Linked DNA regions of Elephas maximus indicus. The protein of the gene in region 1 interacts with the protein of each later gene in a pairwise test. Links are inferred from orthologs where the notes say so. Each region holds a gene or a part of one and is shown in the gene's direction. Other genes may lie near its edges.

What was found.
Region 2: the proteins of AGTRAP (region 1) and MIEF2 interact in binary tests that used the Homo sapiens proteins (3 or more experiments, as listed by UniProt). The two-hybrid records come from large-scale screens. The link is inferred for Elephas maximus indicus from reciprocal best matches to the Homo sapiens genes AGTRAP and MIEF2.
Region 3: the proteins of AGTRAP (region 1) and ACSF2 interact in binary tests that used the Homo sapiens proteins (3 or more experiments, as listed by UniProt). The two-hybrid records come from large-scale screens. The link is inferred for Elephas maximus indicus from reciprocal best matches to the Homo sapiens genes AGTRAP and ACSF2.
Region 4: the proteins of AGTRAP (region 1) and BPIFA2 interact in binary tests that used the Homo sapiens proteins (3 or more experiments, as listed by UniProt). The two-hybrid records come from large-scale screens. The link is inferred for Elephas maximus indicus from reciprocal best matches to the Homo sapiens genes AGTRAP and BPIFA2.

Annotation. Positions count from the first base shown.
Region 1 is NC_064821.1:51,594,367-51,602,041, forward strand, and holds the start of AGTRAP (type-1 angiotensin II receptor-associated protein), read left to right. Parts: upstream 1-4,670; 5' UTR 4,671-4,745; coding exon 4,746-4,772; intron 4,773-7,675. UniProt on the Homo sapiens protein: Appears to be a negative regulator of type-1 angiotensin II receptor-mediated signaling by regulating receptor internalization as well as mechanism of receptor desensitization such as phosphorylation.
Region 2 is NC_064820.1:214,090,851-214,098,779, reverse strand, and holds the start of MIEF2 (mitochondrial dynamics protein MID49), read left to right. Parts: upstream 1-4,928; 5' UTR 4,929-5,088; intron 5,089-5,097; exon of another isoform or gene 5,098-6,190; 5' UTR 6,191-6,460; coding exon 6,461-6,484; intron 6,485-6,618; exon of another isoform or gene 6,619-6,788; coding exon 6,789-6,968; intron 6,969-7,173; coding exon 7,174-7,357; intron 7,358-7,894; coding exon 7,895-7,929. Other genes in the region: FLII (protein flightless-1 homolog), read right to left, coding at 2-163, 320-405, 733-813, 1,680-1,751, 2,070-2,180, 3,762-3,824. UniProt on the Homo sapiens protein: Mitochondrial outer membrane protein involved in the regulation of mitochondrial organization.
Region 3 is NC_064837.1:43,248,262-43,255,910, reverse strand, and holds the start of ACSF2 (medium-chain acyl-CoA ligase ACSF2, mitochondrial), read left to right. Parts: upstream 1-4,635; 5' UTR 4,636-4,835; coding exon 4,836-4,963; intron 4,964-7,649. UniProt on the Homo sapiens protein: Acyl-CoA synthases catalyze the initial reaction in fatty acid metabolism, by forming a thioester with CoA. Has some preference toward medium-chain substrates. Plays a role in adipocyte differentiation.
Region 4 is NC_064843.1:36,398,606-36,405,815, reverse strand, and holds the start of BPIFA2 (BPI fold-containing family A member 2), read left to right. Parts: upstream 1-4,195; 5' UTR 4,196-4,297; intron 4,298-5,100; 5' UTR 5,101-5,115; coding exon 5,116-5,311; intron 5,312-7,192; coding exon 7,193-7,210. UniProt on the Homo sapiens protein: Has strong antibacterial activity against P.aeruginosa.

The DNA of each region.
Region 1 (7,675 bases):
CCTAGGGCAACACTATTCCTCCGCAGTGTGCTGGAATGCCGAGGCTGATCTCCCAGGCTCTGCTAGTAGGAAATGGGATATGGCTGTTGTAATAGGTTGAATAGAGCCCTCCTAAAAGATACATCCAAGTCCTAACCACTGGGAGCTATGAATGGGAACTTATTTGGAAAAAAGATCTTTGGGGATATAATTAAGTTAAGGATTTTGAGATGAGATCATCCTGGATTTAGGGTGGGCCCTAAATCCAATGTTTTTGTTAGCTGCCATTGAGTTAGCCCCTGACACGTGGCAATCTCATGCGCAGTGAAACAAAGCACTGTCTGGTCCTGTCCCATCCCTATGATAGGTTGCAGACCAACCCGCTGTGACCCACAGGGTTTTTATGGGCTGATTTTGGAAGTATATAGCCAGGCCTTTTTTCCTAGTCTGGTTTAGTCTGGAAGCTTCCTTAAAACCTATTCAGCATCATACCAACACACAAGCCTCCACTGATAGGTGGGAGCGCATGAGGTGTATTGGTTAGGGAATCGAACCCGGTATTCTGCATGGAAGGTGAGAATTCTAGCACTGAACTACCAAAAACCAAACTGTTGCCATCGAGTTGATTCTGACTCATAGCGACTCTATGGGACAGGGTAGAACTGCCACATATGGTTTCCAAGGAGCGCCTGGTGCACTCAAACTGCCGACCCGTTGGTTAGCAGCCCAGCTCTTAACCACTGCGCTACCAGGGCTCCACAGTGACCCCAAATCCAGTGACAGTGTTTTTATAAGAGAAAGACAGGGAGAAATTTGAGACACAGACACAGGAAAGGCCACATAAAGACAAAGGCAGAGATTAGAATGACGCTGCCACAAGCCAAGGAATGCCTGGATCTACCAGAAGCTGGAAGAAGACTTCAGAGGGGGCACCACCCTGCCGACACCTTGATTTTGTACTGTGAGCCTCTGGAACTGTGAGGGAATAATTCCTGTTGTTTTAAGCCACCCAGTTTGTGGTGAACAAGCCCTGATGGTAAAGTGGTCAAGCCCTCAGCTGCTAACCAAAAGGTCGGCAGTTTGAACCCACCAGCCGTTCTGCAGGAGAAAGATGTGGCAGTCTGCTTCCATAAAAATTACAGTCTTGGAAACCTTATGGGGCAATTCTACTCTGTCCTGTGGGTTCACTATGAGTCGGAATTGACAGAACAGCAACAGGCTTGGTTTGGTTTGGAGTTTGTGATTTGTTATAGCACCTGTAGAAAAGTAATGCAGGTGTCTTCTCACCACTTTGCCCAACACGTGGGCCTTCCCCTGCCTCTTCAATTCAACAGGCATTTATCCTGGACTTGTCCTCACAAGACCTGCTGCATCAGCTTCCAAGGGCTGCTGTAACAAAGTATCACAACAGAAATGTATTGTCTCACAGTTCTGGAGGCTAGGAGTCTGAATTCAGGCTGTTTACAGGGCCCTGAATCGACTCGATGGCACTGGGTCTGGGTTCTCTCAGAAGGCTCCAGGGCAAGACTCTTTCTTGTCTCTCCCAGCTTCTCGTAGTAGCTGCCGGCATTCCTTGGCTTGCAGATACATCTTCACATGGCCAGCCTTCCTCTTTCTGTCTCTCTTTCACAGGGCCATCAGTCAGATTGGATTAGGACTCACTCTATTCTAGTATGGTTCTGTGGTGGTGCAGTGGTTAATTGTTTGGCTGCTAACCAAAAAGTCGGCAGTTCAAATCCACCAGCCACTCTGGAAGCCCCATGGGGCAGTTACAGTCTGTCCTATAGGTTCGCTATGAGTCAGAATCGAGTCGACAGCAACGAGTTTGGTTTTAGTTTTCTACTCTAGTATGACTTCATGTTAACCTAACAGACAATATCTCCAAAGACCCTATTTCCAAACCAGGCCAAGTTTGAAGGTACCAGGGGTTAAAACTTAAATATATCATTTTGGGGGACCCAGTTCAATCCATAACACAAATATGGTGTCTGTCTTAGTCATCTAGTGCTGCCGTAACAGAAATACCACAAGTGGATGGTTTTAACAAAGAGAAATTTATTTTCTCACAGTCTAGTAGGTTCCAAGTCCAAATTCAGGATGTCAGCTCCAGGGGAAGGCTCTCTCTCTGTTGGCTCTGAAGGAAGGTCCTTGTCCTCAATCTTCCCCTGGTCGAGGAGCTTCTCAGGTGCAGGGACCCCGTGTCCAAAGGATGCTCTCTGCTCCTAGTGCTTCTTTCTTAGTGGTATGAGGTCCCCAACTCTCTGCTTGCTTCCCTTTCGTTTTATCTCTTGAAAGATAAAAGGTGGTGCAGGCCACACCCCAGGGAAATTCCCTTTGGATCAGGGAGGTGACCTGAGTAAGGGTGGTGTTACAATCCTACCCTAATCCTCTTAACATAAAATTACAATCACAAAATGGAGGACAACTGTACAATACTGGGAATTATGGCCTAACCAAGTTGACAGATATTTCTGGTGGGACACAATTCAATCCATGACAGTGTCTATGAGTTGGTGTATATTTGTTCATTCACTGAGCACCTACTATATGCCAGCCACTGGGCTAAGGTCTGAGGAGGCAACATCCTCCTAGCTTATAGTCTAGGTCGGGGGACAGGCAATAAATAGTAAACAAATAATTTAACAGGGCAATCCTTCAGATATTGATAAGTGCTAAGAAGAGAATAAAATAAGGCAATACAACCACCTTGGAAAACAGTTTGCCAGTTTCTTAAAAAGTTTGGCTGCCATATGATACAGCCATAGCACTCCTAGGTATTTACCCTCCCAAAACAAAAACCAAACCCATTGCTGTCAAGTCGATTCCAACTCATAGTGACCCTGTAGGGCAGTGTAGTATTGCCCTACGGGTTTTTCAAGGAGCGGCTGGTAGATTTGAACTGCTGATCTTTTGGTTAGCAGCCAAGCTTTTAACCACTGTGCCATCAGGGCAATTTACCCTAGTAGGTGTTTAATAACTATGCACTGAATGAATGATTGAATGAATGAATGAATCTATTATATGTCTGGTTCTTTGTCGAGCGTGCAAGGTGCCTTTTTTCTTTTTGAGCTGAGACAGGATTGGTGAAGGACATGAAAAATTTAAACTTGAATTTTCCAAAGTATGCTCACTAAAAATATGACCTGAAGCCTTGTGGAATGTCCTTTGTGGGGATCCATTTGTTCTTCCTAGTCAGGAGCAGGGCAGGGCAGGACCTCTGGATCCTTTGAGGATACAGAGAGTTTCATTCTCCTTTGTTCTTCCTCAGTGCTCTGGCCAGCTGGGTCTCGCTCTGGCCCTCCCTCTGCCTCTCATGCTTCTGGCCTCAGCTAGTGGAATGAATACAGTATCAGTGTGTGAGCTGCAGGGACCCGCCACAGACCCGGCCTTGTCCTTCATCCCTCTCCAACCTGTCCTCCCCTCCTCACTGTGCTCCATCCTTTTCAACTCAGCCTGGTCTGTGTCTTTGTGACAATGCAAGCAGTGTAGCTCAAGGTTAAACGTGCAGGTTCTGAAGCCAGACCTCCGGGGTTCCCAACCCACTTGTAGTACTAGCCAGTGAAGTGACTTTTGGCAAGCCACATAATATCTCTTAACTCCAATTTCCTAACTGTAAATAAGAATAGTACCTACACCATGAGGTTGTTGCAAGCATTTACTATGAAGTGCTTTTCACAGCCCTGGTTAAGAGCTTGGCTGCTAACCAGAAGGTCAGCAGCTTGAATCCACCAGCTGCTCCTTGGAAACCCTCTGGGGCAGTTCTACCCTGTCCTGTAGGGTCTCTATGAGTCAGAAGGTTTTTTTTTTTTTACAACAAAATAAGTACTTAATAAATGTCAGCTCTAATCACATAAATTGTTTGTTTTGCATTCTCTCCTTATGAGATGATCATTGCTCACGGTCTTATTACACACTAACAGGCTCAGATTAAACATGTGTGTCATTAGAACTGTATCGCATAGAGTTTTTAAAAGTAGATCACCAGGCCTGTCGTCCGAGGTGCCTCTGGGTGGATTTGAACAGCTGACCTTTCGGTTAGTAGCTCGGTGCTTAACTATTTGCACCACCCAGGGAGCTGTGTGTACTGCCCATTTACTAAGTGCCAGGCACTCTTCTGGGCACTTTACATTGGCACTCACACCAAAAACCAAACCCACTGCCTTTGGGTCGATTCCGACTCATAGCGACCCTACAGGACAGAGTAGAACTGCCCCATAAGGTTTCCAAGGAGCTGTTGGTGGATTTGAACTGAGGCCTTTTGGTTGGCAACCGAGCTCTTAACCACCGCACCACCAGGGCTCCTCAAAGCTAGCAGGTATTGTAAATGTCTCCATTTTAACACCGGGAAAGAGGAAGTTGAGAGGGTGCCCCAGGGACTGAGACACCAGCTGTCGCTACATCCACAGTTTGCACTTGGAAGTCCCCCCAGGTTCTCGTGACTGCAGGTGGTCTCATCAGCCCAGGTGTCACCACCTGCTGGCATATTAGCCAGGCAGGACATCGCTCCCTTTGCTCAAGAAACCCCGATATTCTGCCTGCGGGCCCCCAGGAACTGCCTGGGCAGTCCAGGAGCCAGGAGGCTACAAGACAACCGGAACAGACCGACGCCGTCTCCTAGCAACCGGGCCGCGCTCACGTGGTCCGGGAGCGCGGATAGGGTTGGAGTTGCTACAACGGGCGGGGCGGGGCCGGGCAAGTTTGTTTCCAGACTTCGGAGCCGAAGAGCTCCTACCGCTGCAACGCAGGTGCACTGGGCCTGGGTCAGGATGGAGCTGCCCGCCGTGAACCTGAAGGTACGACGGGCGGGACGGGGCGGAGGTGGCCACGCCGCGGGCAGGCGGGGCGGCGGGTATCTGGGAGTGTGTTGGGTGTTTGCTTTCTATAAAGGATTTTAAAGGCGGGAGGACGGAGAGTTTGGCAGGGAGAAAGGGGAGGAGGGAACGGACACCACCCCAGGTGAGAAGGAGGTGGGGAAGGTAGGCCTCAGCGGGGAGGAGGGATCCAGAAAAAAGCGAGCAGGGAGGATCCAGAGGGGGGACTGGAGGCTGACCAGGGTCGGAAGGGCCGCCTGGTCCCGGAGCCGGCCTCCTCCAGCTGGGAGCTCCGCCCCGGAGGATTGCAGGGCCTACACGCTCAGAATTCCTGTGGGGAGGGAGGCAGGCGCGGGGGGAGGGGCCCACTGAGCGCCTGCGGCAGGGGCTTGAGGTTGGGCCACATCTCCCCCAAGGAGACGCTGAGACCACACTTTTCACTTGGGCCCCCAGTTGGGTCCTGCTAGCCTCCTTTATTCACTCAGTGAGGTTAAGAAAAGGCCCCTGGGTGGAGCAAATGGTTTGCCCTGACTGTGAACCTAAAGGTGGGCGGCTTAAACTGGATTACCAGCAGCACCGCAAAAGAAGGGCCTGGCGATCTACTTCTGTAAAGATTGCAGCCAAGAAAACCTTATGGAGCAGTTCTACTCTGTAACACATGGGGTCGCCCGCCATGAGTCAGAATCAACTGGAAGGCAACAGGTTTGGTTTTCGTTTTGGAGATTTAAGAAAATCAGATGTTGCCAGAAAGTGGTTTTCAGAATTATTAAGTCTAGCTTTCTTATTTCAAGCGAGCAGAAAAACCCCACATTGTGCACTTTGGAAGACACTGTGGGGCTTCCTGGGATGTCTTCATTTCCTGTCCTGTGTCTTCGGCGTTGTCACGATGCCAGCGGCTGTTCTTCTTTTTCTCCCCGCCCACCTCCAGCCTTCGTCTAGGTTCTGCCTGCAGACAGAGGGGCTGGGCCCTTAGCTTTGGTCTGGAAGGCTGAACCTTGGACCAAACCCGCCCATTTAAGGTCTTGGTGCAGCCTCCTTTGGGACCATATCCAGGAATGCCCTTTTACTCAGGAGTGACAAACCATTTAGCACCCCGTGGTGTGGTGCCTGGTGCAAGAAGAACCCAGGGGTGGCTGATTCCAAAACGACTCATAATCTATGTTTCGATTAGACATGCCTGTGCTGTGATTTCACCTGGGTGCAGATTTTCTTTTCAATCAGCAGATGGGAGGAGAGATCCCTGGAACAAGGGGTCGGACTTGGGTTTAAAGTTTAGCTGGGAAGAAATTCACATGAGGCCATCTGAGGTTTGTTGGTATCAGTACCCAAGTCTTTTGAGCACCTATGCTATTCCAGGTGGGTTGGGTTTAATGTAGAAGGTATACACCTGCTGACTGCCTTTCCTCTGATTAGAGATTTGCACAAACTAATTGCTAAAAATGGGAGAATCGGGTGAGGGACAGTGCTGCAGGAACTGAAAAGAAAGAAGAGAGCTCTCATTTATGGAGTATCTGTGGTGTGCCGGGATTAATTATTTAATCACAACAACCTCCCGAGCAAACTTTTGACAGATGAGCAAACTTTGGCTCAGAGAGGGTAAGTAACTTGACCCCAGAAGCCACCCTCTGCAGTGGGATGCAGAACATTTTGTTAATAAACTTTGTTATGCCCAGTGACCTAGATGTCCCCCGAAACCATTGTCCCCAGACCCCAGCCCCTGCTACTTGGTCCCTCGAAGTGTTTGGTTGTATTCAGGAAACTTCTTAGCTTTTGGCTTAGTCCAGTTGTGCTAACTTCCCCTGTGTGGTGTGTTTTTCCTTTCCTTCACCTGAGATCATTCTTGTCTACTATCTAGTTAGTGAATACCCATCTCCTTCCCTCCCCACCCTCGTAACCATCAAAGAATGTTTTCTTCTGTGTTGAAACCTTTTTTTGAGTTCTTATGATAGTGGTCTCGATACAATATTTGTCCTTTTGCGACTAAGTTCACTCAGCGTGAGGCCTTCCAGATTCATCCGTGTTGTGAGATGTTTCGTGAATTCATCATTGTTCTTTATTGTTGCGTAGTAGTCTGTTTTGTGAATGTACCATAATTTATTTATTTGTCTGTTGATGGACACCTAGGTTGTTTCTATCTTTTTGTTATTGTGAACAGTGCAGCAATGAACATGAGTGTGCATATATCTACTCATGTGATGGCTCTTATTTCTCTGGGATATATTCCAAGGAGTGGGATTGCTGGGTCATATGGTACTTCTATTTCTAGCTTTTTAAGGAAGTGCCAAATCTATTTCCAAAGTGGCTGTACCACTTTACATTCCCACCAGCAGTGTATAAGTGTTCTAGTCTCTCCACAACCTCTCCAACATTTATTATTTTGTGTTTTTTGGATTAATGCTAGCCTTGTTGGGGTGAGATGGTAACTAATTGTAGTTTTGATTTGCATTTCTCTAATGGCTAATGATTGTGAGCATTTCCTCATGTGTCTGTTAGCTGCCTGAATGTCTTCTTTGTAGAAGTGCCGGTTTTTTAATTGGTTTAGTTGTCTTTTTGTTGTTGAGGTTTTGCAGTATCTTGTAGGTTTTAGAGATTAGAACCTGACCGGATATGTTGTAGCCAAAATTTTTTTCCCCGTCTGTAGGTTGTCTTATTACTCTTTTGGTGAAGTCTTTTGATGAGCAGAAGTGTTTCATTTTTTAGGAGCTCCCAGTTATCTAGTTTCTCTTCTGGTGTTTGTGCATTGTTAGTTATGGTTTGTTTTCTGTTTATGCCATGTATTAGGGCTCCTAGCATTGTCCCTATTTTTTTCTTCCATGATCTTTCTCATTTTAGATTTTGTATTTAGGTCTTTGATACACTTTGAGTTAGTTTTTATACGTGGTGTG
Region 2 (7,929 bases), on another chromosome or scaffold:
CCGCAGCTGTGCGTGCAGCAGCGGGTTCCCATTGAGCACTAGCGTCTGCAGCTGCACCAGACGGCGCATCTGCGGAGGTAAGCTCTCCAGGCGGTTCTCGCTGAGGTCCAGGTACAGCAGGTCTGTGAGGTTGATGAAGAGCTGATTGGGGATGGTGTCGATGCTGCAGCCGGAGGGAGGGAGGAAGAGAGAGAGAGGGAGGCAGGCAGGGGCTGCCTGAGTTGGCCCGACATCCACATCCAGGCCCACCTGGCTGTTGCATTGTTGTGGCCTGGGCCTCCCTCCCCCACCCTGATCTCCCACCCAGTGCGACAAGCACCTGTTGTGGCTGAGATTCAGCACCAGCATGTTCTTGGCATTCTCCAGCTCCCGCGGGCACTCCGTCAGCTGGTTGTAGCTCAAGTCCTGGGTGGGAGGGGCAAGCCCTGGTGAGGGATGTTGGGGGCTGGGCCTACCCAGCCAGGTCTCTGCCAGGTCCTGGGAATCAGGAGGAGCACTGAGTGGGGAATGACTAAATTAAAGCGAGACAATGGGGACCCTGGATGAAGAGTGCTTGAGTTAGACATCTGTCTCCATGAGGGGCCTCTGGCAAGGCATTGCCCACTCTGAGCCTCAGTTTCCCCATCTATAAAAGGGGTTAGCAATGGTCCCTGGGGACTATAGATGGGGGGGTGGATGGGGACTGAAGGGTCAGGGCCTGAGGAGGGGCCAGGTGGATGGATAACCACTGACCAGGACTGAGAGGTCATCCAGCTTGAAGATGTCATCAGGTACTCCAGAATTCTTCAGGCTGTTGGCTCGAGCCACAATGGCCTGGGAATAAACCATGACTCCTGGCTTCTGCCCCCAGGAAGAAGCAAACAGGTCTCCTCCAGGAAGCCCACCAGAAGTCAGGCCTGAGTGCTCTCACACCTCTGAGCCTTTTGCTTATACAGTCCCTCCACCAGGTGGGCTCTTCCTAGCTTTCTGGTAAACTCCTATCACACCTGAAAGCCCAGCTCAAATGTGTCCCAGAGCCCAGCACAGGGACCACCCTGACTATCTCTCTCTCCCAGCTGAACTCCATCCAATCCCAGCTCTAATACTGCCTGTATATGCCACCTTGGGTGGGTGACTTGGTCTCCATGAGTAAGTCTCCTATCTGTGAAACAGGTTGTTGTTGTTGTTCTCAGGTGCTGCTGAGTCAATTTCAACTCAAAGTGACCCCATGTGACAAAACAGAACTGCCCGATAGGGTTTTCTAGGCTGTAATCTTTATGGGAGCAGGTTGTCAGGTCTATCTCTCAGAGCCACTGTGTCGGTTCAAACCACCAACTTTTTGGTTAGCAGCAGAGTGCTTAACTGTTACATCACCAAGGCTTCTTATAAATTAGGTAACAGCTAGGATTACATGAAAAAATCTACAAAGCAGAACAGTACTCGACCTGTGTTGACTATCACTGCTGTAGTTTTATTTGTTGCCCAAAGTAGATGCGGTTTTCAACTTTTTAACATTTTCCCCATGGAATTTTAATTCACGTGGTTTACTTTACACAGGGCATCGTTTTGTCTTCTTCCCTTTACACGTATGTACGGGGGTCGCACAGATGCTGGCCCGGCCTGAGGTCTGATCCTGCCCTCCCTCTTCTGGCAGGACGCCACCCCACCCCAAGGCTGGTGGCCTCCCTGCCCGCACTCACCCGCAGCGATGGCAGGCTGGACAGCTCCCCGTGAAGCGTGGTCAGGTTGTTGTGGCTCACAGACAAGTGCTCCTGGGGCCGGTCAGAATAGCAGGAGCTTAGTGGGATGGGTGGGATGGCTAGAGGATCCTCATCCACCACCATAACCTTGTTCCATCCAGAAGGGCCTTCTGCTACGTAGGCCCAGTCCACCTCTGCTGTTTCCCTCCCTCATAGGCCCGATTTCTTCTTGCACAGCTCCTGGGACAGGGTACTCACTCCCTCTCTGCCAGCTCTGATAATAGCTGTCAGAATGGTCTTTCTCTGTGTCGGCTGCTCTCGGCATAGCCTCTGCTTGCCTGGTCCAGTCTCATCCCCACAGACCCTCCCTGTCCACCTGGAGCTCCTTACCAGCTTCTGCAAGGCAGCCAGCTCCTCCGGCAGGTAGCAGAGGCCAGTGCGGTTCAGCTTCAGCCATCGCAGGCTGGTCATAGCCTTGACATTCTCAGGGAAGTAGCCACCCTGAGGTGGGACAATATCATGGTGGGGTGGGCTGGGAGAAGGGAGCACCCCTTCTGGTGCCTCAGTTCCACCACCCTCTGCGGCTCCCACTGCTCAAGGGAGCCTCTGGGGACCAACAGAGCCACCTCTCGCCAGCTGTGCAATCTTGGACAAGTCACTTCGCCACTCTTGTGTGTTGATTTCCTTACCCATCAAATGGAGCTAATAAAAGCCTCCATGTGACAAGTGTTCTGAGGAGGGACTAATTATTAGGTTGGCCCCAAATCTAGCTCTCCCACTAGACTCTGAGGCCTGGGAGGGCCAGGAGAGAACAGGCTTGTTGCAGGTGACAGCCCCAGCACCCAGCCCAGGGCCTGGTCAGCATATGTACCAGCTTTGTGTCAGCATGGGCTAAATTCCTTCGCCAGCATTCCAGGCCTGGCTGCAAGGCCCTGTCTATGCCTCCAATGCCATCAACCCCCAGGTCCAATTCCCACTGTGCCAGGGCCCAACTCCACATCCCACACAGGCTCATTCATTCATTCATTGGTTTATTCACTCCCCCAACACAAAGTGGAGGGATCTGGGGTGGCTGGTGTGCCCCTCAGCATTCCTGGCCCTGTGACAGGGTTGTGGCAGTACATGCCTTCATTGCCCATTGCTGGCATCTCCTTCCCACTAGGACCACATTCTCTGCTGGTGACTCAGAGAGGAGACCCCTGGTGAGAAGGGTGGAGATGGGGACAGAAAGTAGTGGGGTGGCCACCTGTGCACCAGGTAGGATAAACACAGGAGGAGCCTGCCTCCTTGGCCTCAGCTCTGGCTGACTCCTGACCCCAGCCAAAGCCTGGGCCAGGAATCTTGCAGCCCCAGGCCAGCTCGAACCTGTGCTGACCTCCTGCCACCGTTTCTCTCTGGGCACAGACTCTCTAGAATCACCTCCTCTTCCCCACAACTGGCTGGGGTTCCTTGATCCCCTCCTCTACCATTCCAGCAGCTGCTCACTGAGGCCCCACCCCCCGGGGGGGCGACAGATCAGACAACCCCACCCAGGACCTGGCACACCTGCCTGACACTCTCCATACCCGTTAATCCTCACGACCTTCCCAGGCCTCTGAGAGTTGTGCTGTTAAGTCCCCCGTCTGGATGGGCGGCTCTAAGAGGGGAAGCGACTTTCCCAAGACCACACAGGATGGGGTGGCAGTGGCGGGGACAAAGCAGTGACGGCGGGCTCCAGCCCCGCCCCGGGCAGCCCGGGCGTGAGTCAGGGCCTTACTTGGGTGTGTGGCCTCAGAAGGGCGGGGGTGGAAGCTGGGGAGGTGGCTGGGCGGGGCCCAGACCCGGAATGGGGCCCGAGGAGGGGCTCCTAGATGGATCCCCCTTCTCTCAGCCTCAGGCCCTGGAGTGACTCCGGACGTGAGCGTCGCCCGCCCCTCCCGGTCTCGGCGTGCCCGGCCGGGCCCGCGCGGAGGCCTGGGGTCGGGCTCTGGCAGGGCGCAGGGAGCCCCATCCCGGCCACAGGCGGGTCCGCGGCGGGCGGGCAGGAAGCGCGGGCCGGCGGGCCGAGCGCGGCAGGCGGCGCAGGGGCCCACCGCGGCTCACCTTGAAGTCGTTGCCGCTGAGGTCCACGCCTCGCACGAACGGCAGCACCCCAGTGGCCTCCATGGCGCCGCAGTCGCAGCGGTCGGCAGCGCAGAGGGCGGACCGGGCGGATGGAGGGCGGACCTATAGCTGTGCCGGGCGGGCCCCGCCCCCTTAACCCGCCGGCGCCTGCCGGAAAACCGTGCCGGGCCCTCGGCGGGAGCGCTGACAACCTTGGTGGGGCCGGAGGGGAGGGTGTCAGGGCCCCGCAGGGCCAGGCACTGACCCCCGTGCTGCTGCAGTGACCCTGGGAGACAGACAGTCTGGACCCAGGCCTGGGGGCGCTAGGCCCGGCATGGCCGACGGGGTTACTAAGTCTCGCCCTCGGGTGTAGAGCTCTGGGCAGGCCCCAAGGCCTGCTTCCGGCTTCAGATTCCTCATCTATAAAACGCTTCCCCAGCAAATCCACGCGTAGCTCCCCGCATACAGCAGGGCTCAATAAGTGGCGCGTCATTACTGCTCCTTCTGATACTCAACACCCACCTCGCTGGTCATTTATTTGCTTACTCGCCCCACCCCCACGCCCAACGCAGGCTCCAGAAGGGAGGCTTCCATCTTTGTCCATCTAGTTCACGAGGTCTCACAAATAAAAGCCGAGAGATTTCACAGCTGTTATTGGGAGAGTCCCGTGTTCCCATTTCACAGAAGAGAAAACTGAGGCCCAGGTGAAGAAACGGCCTATGTGAGTTCACACAGGGCAGGTGGCAGGGATGTGCTGTCTTGCCACACTGTGCCTGGTGGGCCAACAGGTAATGTCCATGAGGTCATCAAGGCCCACTCCAAGGGCGACCTAAGGAGATCATATGAAAGGGGGTCTGGCTGCAGCCTACGGGCCAGGCCCAGAACGAACGCGGCCCGGATGGCTTTCTCCACACCGGATGCTCCCAGCGCAAGCAAAAACCGCGTCACTACGGACCTCCACGGTGGCTGCGCCGCACAGGAACACTGCTACTTCACCTCCCTGCGCGTGCTCGAAATGCAGTCCTGTACCTTTAAAGGACAACTGCGTTCGCTATGTCCCGCCCCCAGGGAGCGCGTCAGCGGCAAGGGGGCGTGGCAGGCTCGCTATTGGCTGAGCCGTTCAGTATTTTGGACCGTGAGCTGGAGCGCCGCGCACTCTGATTGGAGATACGGCCTGCTTTTCTGTGTGGCCCTGGAGGTGTTACAGTTTCCCGGGGTCTCGGCGTTCGGTGCCGGCTCCTCCAGGTTCCATCCTGAGCGGGGCGGGGCTCCGGGGCTTAGCGGTCCCTCTGCGCCCTCCGCTGCGTGTGCTGAAGCCGCGAAGCAGGTATGGCCGGAGCGCGGCGGACTGCCCGCTCACCCAGTCGGGTGTGGCCTCTGCTGGGACGCGGTCGGGGGCGTGGTCTGCGCGCATAGTAGGGAGCTGAGAAGGGCTCCGGCCAGAGTTCGAGTCTAGGTTCTGCCCTTACTCGAGGCTTTGCACCTTCCCAGGACCTCAGTTCCCCCAGGAGTCAGCGGGGCCGTAACTCAGGCGGCGGTGTCCCGAGCGCTGCCAGGGCCCGGCCGCAAAGAGTGGGGTCTTCCTCCCGGAGTTGAAAGGCTGCGGGTTGGAGCTGCGGGACTCCACCAGGGGCTAAGCTGACTTCCATTTTGACGGGTGGGAGAATTTAAAGCGCTTTGCAGAGTGGATTCCTGGCCCCCGTGTCACTGGCAGGCCTGTGACCTCCCCAGGCCCCAGAGCTCGCTTGTTCTCCCTATTTTTAGCTGGGGCTGTTGGGCAGGTGTCTGGGGCTGAGTCATGCCTGCTTTGGGCTTCAGCTGCTCCAGGCATCTTCTCACCCTGTGACCAAGCCCCAGGCACCCGCAGCAGGGCAGGGACGGCAGAAGTCCGTGGTGGCAGAGTTGGCTGTGACTCAGGGTCATCTGCCCCCTCCTCCTCAGACTGTTCTAACGGGACCCATCTTGCTTCTAAGCTTGCACCTTGGTCACCACCCCCCATCTGCTCTCCGGTTGGTGGGTAGGGCCTGAGGGCAGAAGTCCGCCTCCTACAACCTGAGACCATGGTGGGCCGCCCGGGAGAAACCTCTGTCTTCTCCTCCCACTTCCCCAGTACGCAGTCACACTTCCAGGTCTCTCACTTCTCCTTCCTTGCCCTGCTTGTGCCCTTTGACAGTTAAGGAGACAGGCAGGGCCCTCAGGCCGTGATCTTTCTTTGTTGTTTGGCTTCTGCAGCTCCCCATCCCTCTTGTCCCAAGCCTGAGAGGCCAGGAGAGCCCTCTGTCTGGAGAAATTAGGCCAGTCCTCTGGGGGCTTCACATTTGGAGCTGCCTCAGTTTCTGCCTCCTGGAAGCGGGGCCTTCAGACTTGACCTGCACTTGCCCGTTTGCAGGCAGGACTCTGCCAGCCTGGGCCATTTCACTGTCTACCAGGGGCTGCCCTGCCAAGATCTGGGAGTTTAACTGTGGCCCCTGAGCTTCACGGATGTCTCCACCCAAGGTCTGGGAGTCTCAGACCTGGGACCTCAAGTCACTGGTCTTCTCTGGGCCTCAGTACACAGAGTGGATTGGAGATCGGAGAGCTGCTGTGCTGGCCCCACTTGGGAACCTCGGGAAGAGGCAGCCTCAGACTGGCCATCTGGAGGGAGGACTGATCCGACTCTGGGGTGGTTAGGAGGCTGAAGGCTTTGCTGGTGTGGGTCCATGTCCACATCCCCCACTGTGTGTGTAAGTCAGGGTGGCCATGACAACTACTCTCCTCACAGGTGTTTGGTAGTGTCCTGGGAGGTGGGTGGGTGGAGGATGGGCCTCCTCTGACCTGCCACAGGCCTGAGGGTCTCTCTGTGATCTCTCCTTTACAGAGGGCGGGTTGTTTGCAGGTTTTGGGGAGGGGGCTTGGGCAGCTCCCCCATCTCCTCCCGAGAAACTATGCGAATGGCTTTTCTCCTGAGAAATTCCCAGGAAGCTCTCCTCGTGGGCTCGACTCAGCAACCTGGCCTAGTGGCTGCCATTCCCTGCCCCTCCTGCCCAGGTGAGCCTGGCTTCCCACTCCTACAGGCTGACCATGGCGGAGTTCTCTCAGAAGCGAGGGAAGCGACAAGATGATGCTGTGCTGGGCAGTGCCGTGGACTTCCTGCTGGCCAATGCCCGCCTGGTGTTGGGCGTGGGCGCGGCTGCTGCGCTGGGCATTGCCACTCTGGCTGTGAAGCGGGTAAGGGTGGCAGGGTCACCCTTGGGCTCACAGGAATATACAGGGCTGTGCAGGGCCTGGGGCCTGGGCACCTCCCCTTCCCCTTCACGACCTGGTTTGCTGTGTCCCTGGGCTTGCTGTGTCCCTGGGCTTGCTGTGCCCTTGGGCTTTGTTCACCTGCAACTGCCCAGGCCTCAGATGCTCTGATGTGTTGCTCTGCCTGCAGCTCATTGACAAAGCCACCAGCCCAAGGGACGAGGAGGATGAAACCAAGGGCAATACCACTTGCCTGGAGGATGGCTGGAAGGAGCTGAGCCTGCTCAAGGCCATGCCGCGTCCCCAGCCCCAGCCCCCACCTGCTGCCCTGAGCCAGCCTGTGTCCACCCCAGCCCTCTCACCCACTGTCCCAGGTGAGTGGCACCCACCTGACATGGGTGGGCCCCGCTCTGGTCGCCACATCTGGGAGATGCAGCATGAACAGGGTCCTTGAGTTCAGCCCAGGCTCCACCACTGACTCCTGTGCCACCCCAGGCAAGTGGCTACCCCTCTCCCCAGCATAGAAGGGGTCGTTTTTCTCTTCCCACTTGTTGGTACCAGAGTGAGGCAGCAGTGTTATGGTGGGGGCATGGGAACCTGGGGGAAGCCTCAGATGGAGAAACCAAGGCCCAGAGAGGGCAGGACTTGTCCAAGGGAGAGGCCAGAGCCCAAACTCCCTGATTTTGCAGGAAGATGTCTTAACTATAGGGCAAAGGTGTTCGGAGCTGGGAACAATGAGAGCTTGTTATCGAGCACTCACTAGACATGAGGGCCTTGCTGTTGTCCCCACTTCACAGGTGAGCAAAATGAGGCCGAGGTGTCATGCAGCTAGCGACTGGGTGGAGGCCCCTTTACACATCTGCCCCATCGAGGCTGTGCTGATACATTTCCCTGACCCCTTGGCTCTGCAGAGGGGCCTGGAGACAGTGGTTCCCGAACGCCACCT
Region 3 (7,649 bases), on another chromosome or scaffold:
ATTCCTTTAACTTTTCGGTAGGTTTGAATTTTTAATAATAAAATATTCGGAGAAAAGGGTCAGTTTTAACAATATTTTTTACCTTTTTGAATGCTTGATGTCTCAGTCATTTACATTCACAATTTTCTCTAATCTTCAGAAACAATCGAGGTGGGAAACTAAGGCTTAGGGAGGGGCATCCCCTCATCCTCCAAGTAAAAGTTAACTGGATGTCTGCCCTGTGCCACGCACTGTGTTAGGCGCTTGTATCAGCTAGTTTTTGCCGATATGACGTTGCATAACGAACAACTAGAAACTATCAATGGCATACAACAACGTTTACTGTGTGTTGGGCTGCAGTCAACAGCAGGTAGGCTGGTGGTTTTGCTGATCTCTGCTAGGCTTAATCCTGCGTCTGAGGGAGTGGGGGTGGCTGGCTGCTGGCTGATCTAGAGGGCCTTGGCTGGGATGACTTGGCGCTGGTCCTTGTGTCTCTTACTTCCTCCTGGCACAGGTGGGCTATGCTGGGCACATCTTTCTCATGGTGAGAGGAGAGAGCAAGAAAACAGTTGTTGTGGAGTCACTTCCAACTCGCGGCCGGGGTAGATCTGTGCTCCACAGGGTTTTCAAAGGCTGGTTTTTTAGAAGTAGATTACCAGGCCTTTCCTACAAGGTGACTCTGGGTGGACTTGAAGTTCCAAACTTCCTGTTAGTAGCTAAGCGCATTAACCATTTATACCTAGGGACTAGAGAGCAAGAATACAGGTAGAAACGCACAGGTGTCTTCTCAAGTCAGCATCTCTGGGTGACACAAATGGTTTGCGCTTGTCTACTAACCTAAAGGAGACGCTGGTGGTGTAGTGGTTAAAAGCTACGGCTACTAGCCAAAAGGTTGGCAGTTTGAATCCATTAGGCGCTCCTTGGAAACCCTATGGGGCGATTCTACTCTGTCCTTTAGGGTCGCTATGAGTCTGAATCGACTCGATGGCAATGGGTTTGGTTTTGGTTTTTTTGTTTGTTTACTAACCTAAAGGTTGGCAGTTCGAACCCACCCAGCAGTATCACGGAAGAAAGGTCTGTAGATCTGTTTTCATGAAGATTATGCCAAGAAAACCTCACTGAACAGTTCTGTTCTAACACACAAGGGGTCACCATGGCTTGGAATCTACTAGACAGCAATGGGTTATCTTTTTTCTTTTTTTTCCCCACAAGTCTCTGCAGGCATCAAGAACTGAAAAAACCAAACCTGTTGCCATCAAGTCTTATCCTGCTCATAGCATCAGATCTACTAAAATCCCATCAGCCAAAGCAAATCACAGACTGAACTCAGCGTCAAGGGGCAGAGAAATAGACCATGCCTCTTTAGTGAGAGGAACTGCAAAGTCCCATGGCAAAGGGAAGAATGAAGAGCTGGGGCCATTAGTACAACCAATCTTGACAAATCACAGTGGGAGAACACAAAACCTCCAGTGGGAGAAAGCAACTTGCCAATTACAACAGAAAAAAAGAGATTTGGTCAAGGTCATTGAGAAAAAAAAAGCACCAGAGCTGGGATTCTACCCAGCTCTGATACCAAGGCCGACTTCAGACCTCACTAACCCCTTTGTGCTCACTGCTGTACAGTGAAAAACTCCTGAGATGGACAGGATTTTCCCTGCAATTGATCAATCATGCTAGTTAGGAAACTTCCCTCAGGTTTGTAAATAAAATTTTTTATTAAGGTAAATATGCACACTCTTATGAAAATTAGATAAGAAAAAAAAAGCGTTACTAAAAAGCAATCGTTCTCTCCTACATCCCTCTCCCCCAGGCCCATGTCCCAAAGGGAATGAATTTCAACTATTTTAACTGCTGCCATTTTCCTCTAAATAATGTACTTATTCTGCTATTTCTTCTTTTTCTGTGTGACCTGTAAGGATTTACACCCGCATCTTCACTCCCCACGTCCTCCTGACACAGATTTATGTTATTTTTATACATATAGTAATTGCCTTTGTAACTTTATTTCATATTCATCACCCATCCGATCTTCTGATGCCTCAGTTTGTAAGGTAAGGAAATTAGCTGCTCTCTTGCCTCTCAACTACTGTCCAGCGTAACCTTAGCAGTCCAAGGGATCATTTACATTCTATTATCTAACTGGGAGCAAGTGTACTTTATTCATAGGTTGATGCTAAGAATTTAAAAAATCAATGATGTTTACATTTTGAACCCATTTTTGACACACAGAAGGGAAGGGTACTGGCAAAGGGAAGGATACTGGCAAAGGGAGGGGACTAACAAAGGGGCTTTTTCCACGTAGCCAACGGCAGAGCAAAATCACAGGCCACGTGCAGCACACAGCAGATGTAGTTGGCCTAAGCTGCGGTTGGTGAGACAGGAGGGGGAAGAAAGTTAGAGGGCCTGGATCGCTGACCTGATCTGCTCCCCGTTCCCTACCAGGGACCCTAGAATTATGGATCCATGTGATCCCTACCATGACTCAGTGATTCCCAGGTCAGCTCGCTTCACTTCCCTTTTTCCCTGCCCCCCTCCCCCTCCATGGAACCAGTGCCTACCAGATCCCTCAAGGCTTTGCAGATAGTGAAAATGATTCCTCCTCCTGAAAAAGGTTTGCAATACCTAGTACAGAGGAGAAGGAGCCCGGGGTGCACACTGGTTAAGCTCTTGTCTGCTAACCGAAAGGTCAGCGGTTCAAACCCACCAGCCTCTGTGTGGCAGGAAAGACATGGCAATCTGTTCCCATACAGGTTACAGCCTTGGAAACCCTATGGGGCAGTTCTACTCTGTCCTATAGGGTCACTGTGAGTTGGAATTGACTCGATGGTACACAACAACAACAGCCCAGTGGAAGGCCTTAGAATGTAGGCGGGGAGGAAGGAGAGAATGGAGAAAGAAATAATCAGTGACAGCTAGCTGAGTACAGGTCAGTGTCACCTCACTCAAATCTTACCCCAACCCTTTTTGTGAGGTTGGTATTATTATCTTCATTTTACACGCTGAAGAGACCTGCTGACTTGCCCAAAGCCACAAAGTGACTGTTGGAGAGTCTTGGCTTGTACTCCTGCTCACTGTTCCCACTGCTTGGCCTCGGGCAAGTGACTACACCTCTCTGGGACTGAGTTCCTTCCTAAAATCAGAGACATGTTCCAAGGTGTGTCTGTCCCTGCAAGGCTGCTGTGAGGACTGGAGATAATGTCCATGAAGAAACCTGGCATATGTGTCTGCCCTGTTAACTGGTGGTTGTGATTCCATGGGTGGTGGCATATCACTGCTGCCTCCTCAGGAACCTTCTGGAGGCAGAAGAGTTAGGAATGCCCAGTGTCTGGGAAAGTCAAGGCTGGAGCAAGATTTAAGGAGGAACTCTCTCCAGGACTGACCTCAAACTAGCAAAGAGGAGGGCCTGCGAGATCAGTATCCATTCCTCAATTCACAAGCCCAGAAAGGGGCAGCGATTTACCCAAGGTCACCCAGCAGTCTAGTGGCTGAGCCTGCCAGGAAGGGCAATACCCAGGACTTGGGGACTTCTCCATGCCCCACATTCCCCAGCTGGACTATCAGAGGCAGAGCACTACTCTAATTAGAAAGGCAAGTCTCTGCAAGTCCAGGTCCTCATAATCTCTGCTCCTTTGTCTTCCCTCCTGCCACCCCCAGTTTGAAGTGTGGGGGACCCCTCCAGGAGCCAGAACTCCAGGAGTTTTTGAGGTCACTCTGAGGACCATGAAGAGAAGCAGAGTGGACTCCTCATGACCTCAGTGGAGCCACAGTTCCCAGAGAGGGCAAATGTCACCTCTGCCTGGCCCTGCTTACAACATGCCTCGAGGTCAGGTGAAGGGAGGTCATCCTGCAGGCCTTTCCCTCATTTCTCTCCCCGTGCTCCTCTGGAGGAAAAGTAGAGGCTACGCCAAGACACATTTATAAACTGTGCCACTCTGGCTGGCCAGGCACTACCCCCTTCCTCAGCCAGGACGAGAGTTGGACCTTCTTTCCGTTGCAGCTCAGCCCAGGTGTTAAGGACCCTAAGGAGGGGTGGGAGGAGAGTAAGAAGGGTCTGTGGGGGAAGCCTTCCAGCCAACGCCTACGACATGGCATCGTACGGGGACTGTGTTAGGGACGAGCTAGGTGAGCAGAAAAACATGACAGACAGGTCCCAGTCTCTGATACCACCTTCTCTTGTAAGGTCAACCCAACCCGACCGTGGAGACGCAGTGGGAGGGATGCGAGGCTGCCTCGTTCGAGAGGGGTCCCTCCGTAAACTGACGCTTGGCCTCAGCCAAGACTCAGCCCCTCGTCTGCGGGCCTGGAGGGAGCTCACCCACTGCACCCTTTGTCTCGGCGGCCTTCTCTCCCCTCCTCCCACGGCCGTCTGCTCCAGCTGGCACGCCTTGGGATTGTTCCATGCTGGCTCCTTTGGGCTCTGGCTCGCGACTCCGGGAGCCAGCACGTGACCCGCCCGCTAAACCCGCCGCGGGACCAGTCTTGGCCTTGCCGCCCCGCCCCGCATTTGAGCTCCCCGGCTCCCCCTCTAAGAAATCCACAAACTCTTGCGCCACAATACCTAGGCCCCAGTGGTTGGGAGGCGAGACCCGCCTGGGGCTGCCGCCCGGGCCTTGGGACCTGGACAGAAACCAAAGCAGTTCTCAGAGGGTGGAAGGGGGAGGGCCGCGGGTCCGAAGGAAGGTGGCCCGGAGCGGGGCCACCTCCCCCTCGCCTCGCCTCGCCCCGCCCCGCCAGTCCAAGGCTTCCGCACCCCATAGGCAGCGGCGACCCTTCCCGCCTCCCCGTCGGCTCCCAGCTAGCCCCGCCTCGGCTTACTTTAAAAGTTTACTTGGCCTGGGACTGGGTCAAAGCGAGCCATGGCTGTCTGCTCCGGGATGCTGCGCCTCGGGAGGCTGTGTGCGGGGAGCCCGAGGGCGCTGGGGGCCCGGGCCATCTTCTCCCGAGGCTGGCGGGAAGCGATCTTGCAGGGAGTCCGCTCTGTCAGGTACCCCCCCGCCCCGGGGAGGAGAGGAGGTGGGGCAGCCCCCCCGGAGGAGCCCGTGGGGGCCCTGCTGAGCCCACGGCAGCCCCACCTCTGGGTGGCGTGCACTGGGGAGTAGTACCCAAAACCCTAGCACCTAGGCAACGTCCTAGGTGCTAGCGTGTGGGGTGGTCGGCGCGGGCTGGATCAGCAGCTGGTGGCTGACCTTGACCCTCTGCTGACCTTGTTTCCGGTCCTGGACTCTAGACTCTTCCCATCCTGGGCATATAAAGGGCCAGGGCTGCGGGCCTTAAGCAGTTCAGCCTGAGAGGGAGGGTCAAGGGCCAAGGCCGGGACACTGCCTCTGAGCTGGACCCCATTCTGGGATAAACTTGGGCATTCTGCCTCCCCCAGGCCACTAAACTTGGTGTCTTCCCAGAAGCCTTATCAGCTGCTGGTAAACACTGCTTTTGCTCCTTCTAAGAGGCCCTGGTGGTGCAGTGGTTAAGCACTCTGCTGCTAACCACAAGGTAGGTGGTTGTAGAATCCACCATCTGCGCTGCAGGAGAAAGATGTGGCAGTCTGCTTCCCAAAAGATTACAGCCTAGGAAACCCTTAGGGAGCTGTGCTGTTCAGTTCTGTCCTATTAGGTGTGGCTACGAGTCAGAATTGACTTCACCACACACAGCAACCTACCCCTGGGCCTGTTTTCTTTTGTCCTGCTTGCAAGTGGTTCCCATTGGCTTTGCTGCAATAAGTAGGAATCCTTAAGATTGCAAATATAAAATAGCATTGGTTACACAGAGCTAGGCTCCCTGGGATGCTATCAGTGGTGGTTATCTTAGCACCCAGCAGAGGGAGGCGTGGGCACAACTGGGCCTGCTCTTAGCCCTGTTACCCAGCAAGGTCATGATACTACGTCTGTGGTCAGGACTGGATTTTGGACACCAAACAGGGTATGGGCCTGGGCTGGGAAAAGGAAGCAAAAGCCTGAACAGGGCTGTTTGAGAGAATTCAATTTGGTGAACAACAACAAAAAATAGTCAAGGTGGGGAAACTTGGAGGGAGATGCAAATTCCTCTGTTGGCTAGAATTCTAAAATTACGTTTTGAACTTGATGGTTCTTGAAAGCTAGAAAGCTCATCAGGTTTTAACATCTTTAATATCACTATTCCTGGTTTTCTGGGAAAGCCCAGTGGGTTAAGGCAGTGGCCGTTCAGTGGTAGAATTCTTGCCTTCCATGTGGAAGCCTGGGTTTGATTCCCGACAAATGCCCCTCATGTGCAGCTACCACCATCTGTCAGTGGAGGCTTACATGTTGCTATGATACTGAACAGGTTTCAATGGAGCTTCTAGAGTAAGACCGACTAGGAAGAAAGACCTGGAGATTTACTTCCAAAAGTCAACCAATGAAAACTTTATGGATCACTGGATCACAACAGTCTAACCCATAACAGATTGCAGGGATGGTGCAGGACCAGGCAGTGTTATGCATGGGGTCTCTGTGAGCCAGGATAGCTAACAACAAGGCCATGTTATCTGTCATGCTGTGGATATAGAGACCATAGAACTCAGTCCTCAGCCCTCAAGGGGCCTGAGGTCTGATAGGGTGGAAAGATAAATCAACATATGGTCCCATTGGGTGTTCCAGGTGTCAAAGAGCAGAAAGCTCCCAGCTTCTGTCCACTGCTCTTCCTGATCTGGTCACACACACAGCCTAACACCCCAGGCCTATGGGTTTTTGCATCCCCACTTTTGCCAGATAGGAAGGAGCAAGAACCTTCAAACCAAACTACTGACTTAGGTTACAGCTTTGACTCCTCCACCTACTGGCTACATGTTCTTTGGGCGTGTTACCTAACCTCTGAACCAGGTTAGATTATTGCTAATACTACCTATTGCTGAGTTATTAGGTTGAAAAAGGCTTGCTCCTCTCTCCAGCCTTTTCTTTGGAGCAGGGCTGGTCCCTGAGAACTTTCAAATGATGTCTGGGTAGGATTCCAACTGATGTGAGAGTACGAAAGGATCCCCTTCTCAACAGCCTTTTCCCTGGACTTGGTCCTCTCTCCTGGCCAGTTGCCAAGATGGTAGCTTCTGCCCGGACACAAGTCCAGTCTTTGGGCCTACTGGACACCCATTTCTCCATCAAAGGCAGGGCTATCCAGAGCCTTCTTCCTGGGAGGAAAGAGGAGCTGTCTGTTCTCTGGATCCCCGAACCACCCACTCCTCCTTTGTCCACATACCCTCTTTGCCCCAAGGCAAGTTGGATGGGCTAGTTTGGGGCTTCAGGGAAACTTGGAGAGAGGAATCCAAGGAGAAACCTGAATATGAGCAGGCCTCCTCCACACCTCCCCAAAAGCTGACCTAGGGCTGCCTGGGAGACAGCTGCATCTGGGGTGTTGGGAGCACTCAGAGCTGGGGAAGAGGGAGAGAACAGTGGCTTAAGCCTTCCAATATTGGGCATGATGCTTAGAGCTGGGACTCCAGTGACACAGTGCTGATGGTAGGGGTGGAGGTGTGCGTGGACTTTATGGTCTACCTTCCAGGGAGGAGGATGACTGTCATCAGATGGTCTTGGCAACTTAAACACTGTTTCTATATGAAGGACTTATATTAACCCAGGAAGTGTTTGGGTGGAAATCATAAGTAGTTACAAAAAATAGACTCTTCCCATAGATCTCTAAAAGATGATTTACAAATGATTTGGTGG
Region 4 (7,210 bases), on another chromosome or scaffold:
AACGTCACTGCCCCTGGAGGGGAAGTCATTGAAGAGCAAGGTCTCTAATAATCATAATAGTGATGTAACGACTCAATAAACAGTCACTGATCATCTACTATTACAAGGTGCTGCTGTGGCCCCACCAGGTCCTTGCTGAGCTGCAGGTGGGCAAGCAGAGCGGGTAGAGACAGTAGGCCAGTCCTCCATAGCCCGATGCCAAGTGGGCACCCATCTGAACTTCCGTGCCCTGTTCTGGGTTGACACAGGCCCAACGCACCAGGGGTTACAACCAACTCAAACAGCAGAGACAGAGGGATAAACAGGATATTCAAGCCCTTATCACACCAGCCTCAGCATGACAGGGGTGGAAAGAACTCCCCGGGGGCCCAAATGCCCATTCTTTGTTCTTGTGAGGTGAGCACAAGCCACTTCACCTCTCTGAACCTTAGTTTCCTCAACTGGAAAATGAGACTCTCAAAGCCAGCCTCCCAGAGTTGCTGGGAGGACTAAGATGGGCATGTCTCTAAAGTGCCAAGCCCAGCGCCACGCACACAGCAGCAGCCAGGATGTTCCTTCCCCCAGTGGGTGTTGGGTCCTGGGCACTGGAGCAGGAGAAGAATGGACACACCGTTGACCTGGGGAGACAGAAAACTGGATCAGCCGCTATCAGTATCTGGTGTCAGCAGAGACCTGAGTCCAGCTTCCAGCTCTGCCCCTTCTTATCTGTGTGGCCTTGAGCAAGTCATTCTCCCCTTCTGGGCCTCGGTTTCCTTATCTGGAAAATGAGAAAAGTACACCCTCTGCAAGGGAATGAAACAAGATGATGCAGGAAAAGCCCTGGTATACAGCAGGCACCAAATAAACGGCAGCTGTTATCACCAACAGCCTGCTCTTCTGGGCCTGTGTTTCTACACGGTGGTCAGACTACACTGTAAAGTGCAGTGCACATGAGCTGTACTGTTAGGAGTGTGATGTGTAGGCTGAGTTGGGGCACTGGAAGCTAGGTGACGGGGTCCCAGCTCACAGGCTGGAGGTGGAGGGCTCCTTTGAGCTCTCTAGCCCAGTGGTTCCCAGTCCTAGCAGACTACTCCCAGTAGTCTAGACCAGACCACTCTTGGGCTCCACCTCAGACTCCCTGACCAAAATAATCTAGGGATGTGACTCAAGAATCTGTATTTTAAACAAGCTTCCTAGGTAATTTTGTTTCATCATTTTACTTTTAAAAAGGCTAACCCACCAGCCATTCTGCAAGAGAAAGATGTGGCAGTCTACTTCCATAAAGATTTACAGCCTTGGAAAGCCTATGGAGCCGTTCTACTCTGTCCTACAGGGTCACCATGAGTCAGGATCTATTCAATGGCAGTGGGATTTGCCTCAAGCAGAAAATTCCAACAAAACTAAAAGATATGCAACAAAAAGAAGAAAGTAAGTGGGGTTCAAGGTCACAGTGTGGCCCTGAGTGAGTCCCTTTTCCTCTCTGGGCCATAGGTTCCTCAGGCTCCCCAGTGAGGAGGCTGAATGGATGAGCTCTATGCTCCCCTCTGAGCTTGGTGTCTATGATGGTTCAAGCGTGGTCACGTGACTCGTGAGCAACCGTCAGAGAGGAGAGGGCCGATGTTGAATCCATCAACGTATGAGTCAGGGCTGCTGAGGGTTTCAGTGACAGGAATCCAGCTCACACTGACTCGCACAATAACAAAAAAACGAGGGAAGGATGGAATTTTATTTGAATTGAAAAGGGGTATATAGCTTCAGGAACATCTAGATCCAGGAACTCTAATGACGTGTCTTCTCATTTCTTTAGTATTGGCACCAATTTCTGGTGCATTTTGACAGATAAATTGTATTAATGTCTAAAGTCTCTAAGGAAAGAAATCAGACCCAGGCAGACCCATATCCTCCTGTAAGGGGAAAGAGCTCTTTCATTCAGAACGGGGGGAAGCTAACATGGTGCCCATAATTTGGTAAAAAGTTCTCATTGCAGGCAGAGAAGTGTGTTTGTTTTCTTCATATGGATCTAGTTTGTGCTGTCTTGTTCTTGTGTGTGTGTGTGTGTGCGCATGCATGCGTGTGGGTGCACACATGTGTAAGAATATGTGTACTTGTTGTAGAGCTACACACACACCATCAGGAATAGAGCCTAGAGGACTTCACAAAGAAGGGGGTCGTGGTTTCTCTCCACTTTGGAAAATTTAAGACTCGGAGGTTCCCCCAGTGCTTTAGGGGGAGGGATCTTGAAGAGGAATGGCAAAGTCCTGTCCCCATGTGGCCTGGGGCCAGTGAGGCTACAGAGGAGTAAAAAAAAAAAAAAAAAAAAAACAGAGGAGTGGGTGACCCTAAATAATGGCTCCTTAGAATCTAGAACCTTTGAGCTACATGTGAGAGAATGGGGCCTCTGCCTGCTTTACAGCCTCCCTCCCAGGGGACTGAGAGCTTTTAGCTCAATGTCACACCAGAGCTTAGCTGTGAGAGGCGACCGATGCCACAGGAGAAGGCTGGCTTTGTCTTGGGTGTGATTGTGCTGAAAACCAGCCTCCAGCACCAGTCACCGTGGCTCTAAGGGCCCGTGCCAGGGTGAAGTTCAAGTATTGGGGGGTGCAGAGGGGGAGAAAAGGAAAGAGACAGGAAGGCCGAGGGAAAAATATCTCTATGTGGGGGTGGCTGGAATTAAGTGGAGACAAAACTTGAGGGGAAGAATCATAAAAATGTGCACAACGGTCTTCGTACAATAACCAAATCTGTTGCTGTTAAGTCAATTCTGACTCATGGAGACCCCATGTGTTACAGAGTAGAACTGCACCATAAGGTTTTCTTGGCCATAATCTTTATGAAAGCAGGTTGCCAGGCCCTTCTTCCACAGGACCACTGAGTGGGTTCAAACCACCAACCTTTAGGTTAGTAGTTGAGCACAAACAATTTGTGCTACCCAGGACCTTCTTTGAACAATAGAGCTGTGGGAATTTAGAATCACGGCTCACCATCATATCCAATCATCAGGATTGTAGGAGTTATTTAGTCCCATTTCTGAACATCTCTGGTCCTGGGGATCTCACCACCTTCCCAGGCAGTGGCTGGCCTTATGGGATGCCCCAGAGAGACCCTGAGCACGCTAGGGGCAGGTCAGGGTCTTGGAGACCTGCATGGAGGAGAGCTCTGGAGCACAGGGCGGGAATCACTCGCTAAGAGCAGAAAACCGTAAGTACAATCAATTCCGATTGTGATCACACTGTGAAAGAAGGGAGGGAAGAGCTGAGACTGAGGGTAATGGGGAGATGCTATTCCAGGTGGGCAGTCAGGGAGGGCGTTCCAGGAGGTGACATAGAGGCAGCTGGGCAGAAGGGTTCTGGGCAGAGAGAATGGCCTACGCAGAGGCCCAAGGTAGAAAGGAGGTTGCCATCTTTCTAGAACAGAAGATCAATGAGATCAAGGGGGAGAGGGATGGGGATGAGTTTGGAGAGGCAGCAGGGGCAGATGACACAGGTAAGGATGTTGGATTTAACCCGCTGCTTGACAGTGGCCTGGATGGTGGCAAGTGTGGCAGAGGGAGACCAAGGACAAGGAGGCTGTTGGTATTGTGTCTTCTGACACTGGCTGTGCAGACTCAGGCAAGGCACTTAACTCCTCTGGGCCTCACTGCTGCCCATACACATTGGTGGCATGGGGGCAGGCTTTGTTCACTCTTAGAAGGAACTTTTTACCAACTAGACAGAACAGGCAGTGACCTCTCCATCACCCCAAACATTTGAACCGAGGCAGGCTCAGTCCCATGAAAGATGTTGTAGAAGCCACTCAGATGCCAGAGAGGGTTGGGCAGAATGACCCCTCAGGCAGCCGAGCCTGACTCTCACTGGGCCGCCGTTCTAGTCCCATCTTTGACCTTGTCTTACCTTGGGCTGGTTGCTTCTTCTCTCTGAGCCGCAATTTCCAAATGACAGTTAGACTGGATGATCTCTGTGGGCCTTCCCACCTGGATTCTCCAGTTTGTCTATTCTCAGTCTCTCTCCCAGCCCCCCATTCACAATGGCCACCCCTTGGCAGCTAGAGGCCCCTTGAAGTCCTTGTCTTAGTCTTGGCAGAAAATCCTCCCCCTACTCAACCATTTCAATTCAAGCATCCTGGGTGACCTTTGGGTTGGAAGTCTCCTGAACAGGAGTTATTTTCTTTGGAGTTTCCTTGGATGGCCCCGGAACTAGGCCTTGCTTCCGTGAGCAGCCTCACATCGTATTGCCACCATATAAGAGCCACTGCCACCCAGCAGAATCCTAGGAGACCACGCAGGAGAGCAAGGATTTTGTGAGCATCCTCCTCCAAATCTGTGAGTGGTGGGCTTACCCCCCACCCACACCCCTTGCTTTGGGGGAAAGAGGCAAAAAGATAGGTCCACTTGGATCACCTAATATTTTGAATATAGCAAATTAAGAGATATATAGATTATAGTAAGAGAATTGTCAAACTGTTGAGCAATGCAAGGGCATGATGTGGTGTGCATTGATTGGTTCATTCTTTTATCCAACAAATATTAATTGAACACCTGCTTAGTGCAGGCATTCTACTGGGGGCTGGGGATTTGACAGTAAAATAAGTCACAGTCCCTCCTCCGAGGGGTTCATAGCCTGGTGGGAGAGGCAAACAAGTCGTCAGGCTTTTGGAACCCAGGACTCTGATCAGAGAATGAAGGAAGCCAAGGTGGTGGGACAGAGTCCCCTAAATGTAGACTCTGGGGAGGGACCTAGGATAGGCTTCACGGAGGGCATAATGTCTTGCTTAGGCCTGGAGAATCAGAGGAATTGAGTTAATTTAGGTAATTTGACTTAGGTAAAAAAGTGAGGAAGAGGAAAGATGGTTTAGGCAGAGAAAACAGCATGTGCAAAGGACCTTTGTGTAAAGAGCACAGACTTGGAGTCAGGTCTGACTTTTCAGCTCCTTGCTCTTCCACTCACTGGCTGTGTGTCTCTGGACAAGTTGCTCTAGCTTTCTGACCTTGAATGCCCATCTGTAAGATAGGAGATAACCACTTCTACCTCAAAGGGACTTTAAGTGCAAGAGTGGTTGTTGCTCGTTGAATATTCCTTTTCCCTCTGGGTAATTCTCTCTCCTCTTCTTCCTATGACTGTCCAGGTGTCAGGATAAAAGATGTTTCAGCTTTGGAAACTTGCTCTCTTGTGCGGTCTGCTCACTGGGACCTCAGCGTCCCTTCTTGGGAATTTTGGCAATGACCCGAATGTTTTGGACAATTTGAAACCTATTCTTGACAAAGGACTTGAGACTGTTGACAACACACTTGAGACTGTTGACAACACACTTAAGACTGCTGACAATTCAGTTCAAGGTGAGTCAACAAGAGTGATAATCACTAAATCACTAAAAAAAAAAAAAAAAATTTTTTTTTAAATTCCTAAAACATTAAAAAAACACTAGCACCCAGGAAATTGCCTCCTAAACACTATGCCTGCACTACCAAACGCTGCCACCAGGGGCTGCCCTTTATAGGTGGTTTACTGAGAGGTGGCTATTCAGTCCCTGGCTCATTCACTTATTATTTTTCTAAAAACAAGCAATGCTGCAATGAATATCTTTTTACATATTGTATCTTGGTACATTTTTGCCAATGTATGCACAAAGTCCTGAAAGTTCAAAAAGGTGTAACCAAAAAAACCAAACCCAGTGCTGTCGACTCATAGGACAGAGTAGAACTGCCCCATAGAGTTTCCAAGGAGCGCCTGGAGGATTTGAACTGCCGACTCTTTGGTTAGCAGCTGTAGCACTTAACCACTACACCACCAGGGTTTCCTCAGAAGGTGTACACATTTTAAGTTATGGTAGAGGTTGACAAATTATTCCCTATGTTACACACCTTCCAACAGTCTGGGAGAGTGCCTTTTCCCCCGCCACCTTGCCAGGGTCTGCTAGATATATGATTTAATTCATTTGAACTTGCATTTCTCTAATTATGAATCATTTTTTCATGTTTCCTAGCCATTTGCAAATTTTAGCTTAAATATTCTGTTCATATTCTTAGCATAGTCTTCTGTTGGATTGTTTAATTTTCTGTTATTGATTTTTGTCAATTCATTGCAAATTAAACCTACCGCTACTAGCCAGCTTTGTATTTAATTACACCCATTTTTATGCTGACTCTTTAAGAATCTGGCTTTCTTTTTTATTTCCTGGAAACATTAACAGCACTTTGACAAACATTCTTCATAAGAGGAGGTAGCTCCTGCAAATGGCCGCCTTTCAAACCTTGTCAGGCTTAGGCAACCTTCAAAGATGCAGAAAGGACTCACATTCTAATTTTGCAGCTGGGGAAAGTGAGGGCCAGAGACGCAGCTGGGGAACATGAGGGCCAGAGACTGAAGTGTCTGGCTTGAGGCCACTTAGTGAGTTATATGACCAGATCTAGTATAGCACCAGTTTTATTTAAATTGGCATTCCTTGTTTGCATCACTCTAACCAGGCAGATATTGTTCATCGCAGAGCCAAGTCGTAGTACTGTGATTATATTTCTTTTCCTGTACAGTCTTTTGTTTTCTCTTGAGTTAGTAATTGCCTTGTGGTTTCTCACTTAAATTATTTTCTATACACATACTCCTAATTCTTTTCATATGCACTGTCCTACCCTTGTAATGTCATTTATTATCACATCTCGTTTTTCTCTAGAGCCCTCGCATGAGGAACACTCTATCCTATTCCGTATAAATAGTTCTCCAGGCCTACTGCTAAGCTATAATCCTGAGACTCCTCTCTGCCATTTTTATGGGTTGGAGCCATTTTTTTTTTCTTGATTCTAAATTGTCCTACTTCTTAGTTTATTCTCTCATTTTATTTGATCTAGTTTTTTAAACATGTGTGTAAACCCCATTTGAGCCAATAGGCCCCATAGTTGCTCCTAGAAGCTGGTGTACAATCAATATCAGTTGCCTGATCAATTGATTGGTTCGTTGATAAATTATCACGAAGCTATCATGAAGACCAAGGAGGGAACATGGAAGGATCAGGAGCTCCCTAGCTTTATGACTTTGGACACATCTCTTAACCTTTTAATCCTTTATTTCCTCATCTGAAAAATGTGGATAACAGTAATACCTACCCCACTGGGGTGTAATGAAGACTGAATAAAATAACAGGCAAATAGTCTTATCTAGTGCCTGGCACAGAGTAGCAGCTTCATAAGTGGTGAATGTTACTAAATGGCCATTGTTTTTGCCAGATGACCTTCAGAAACTGA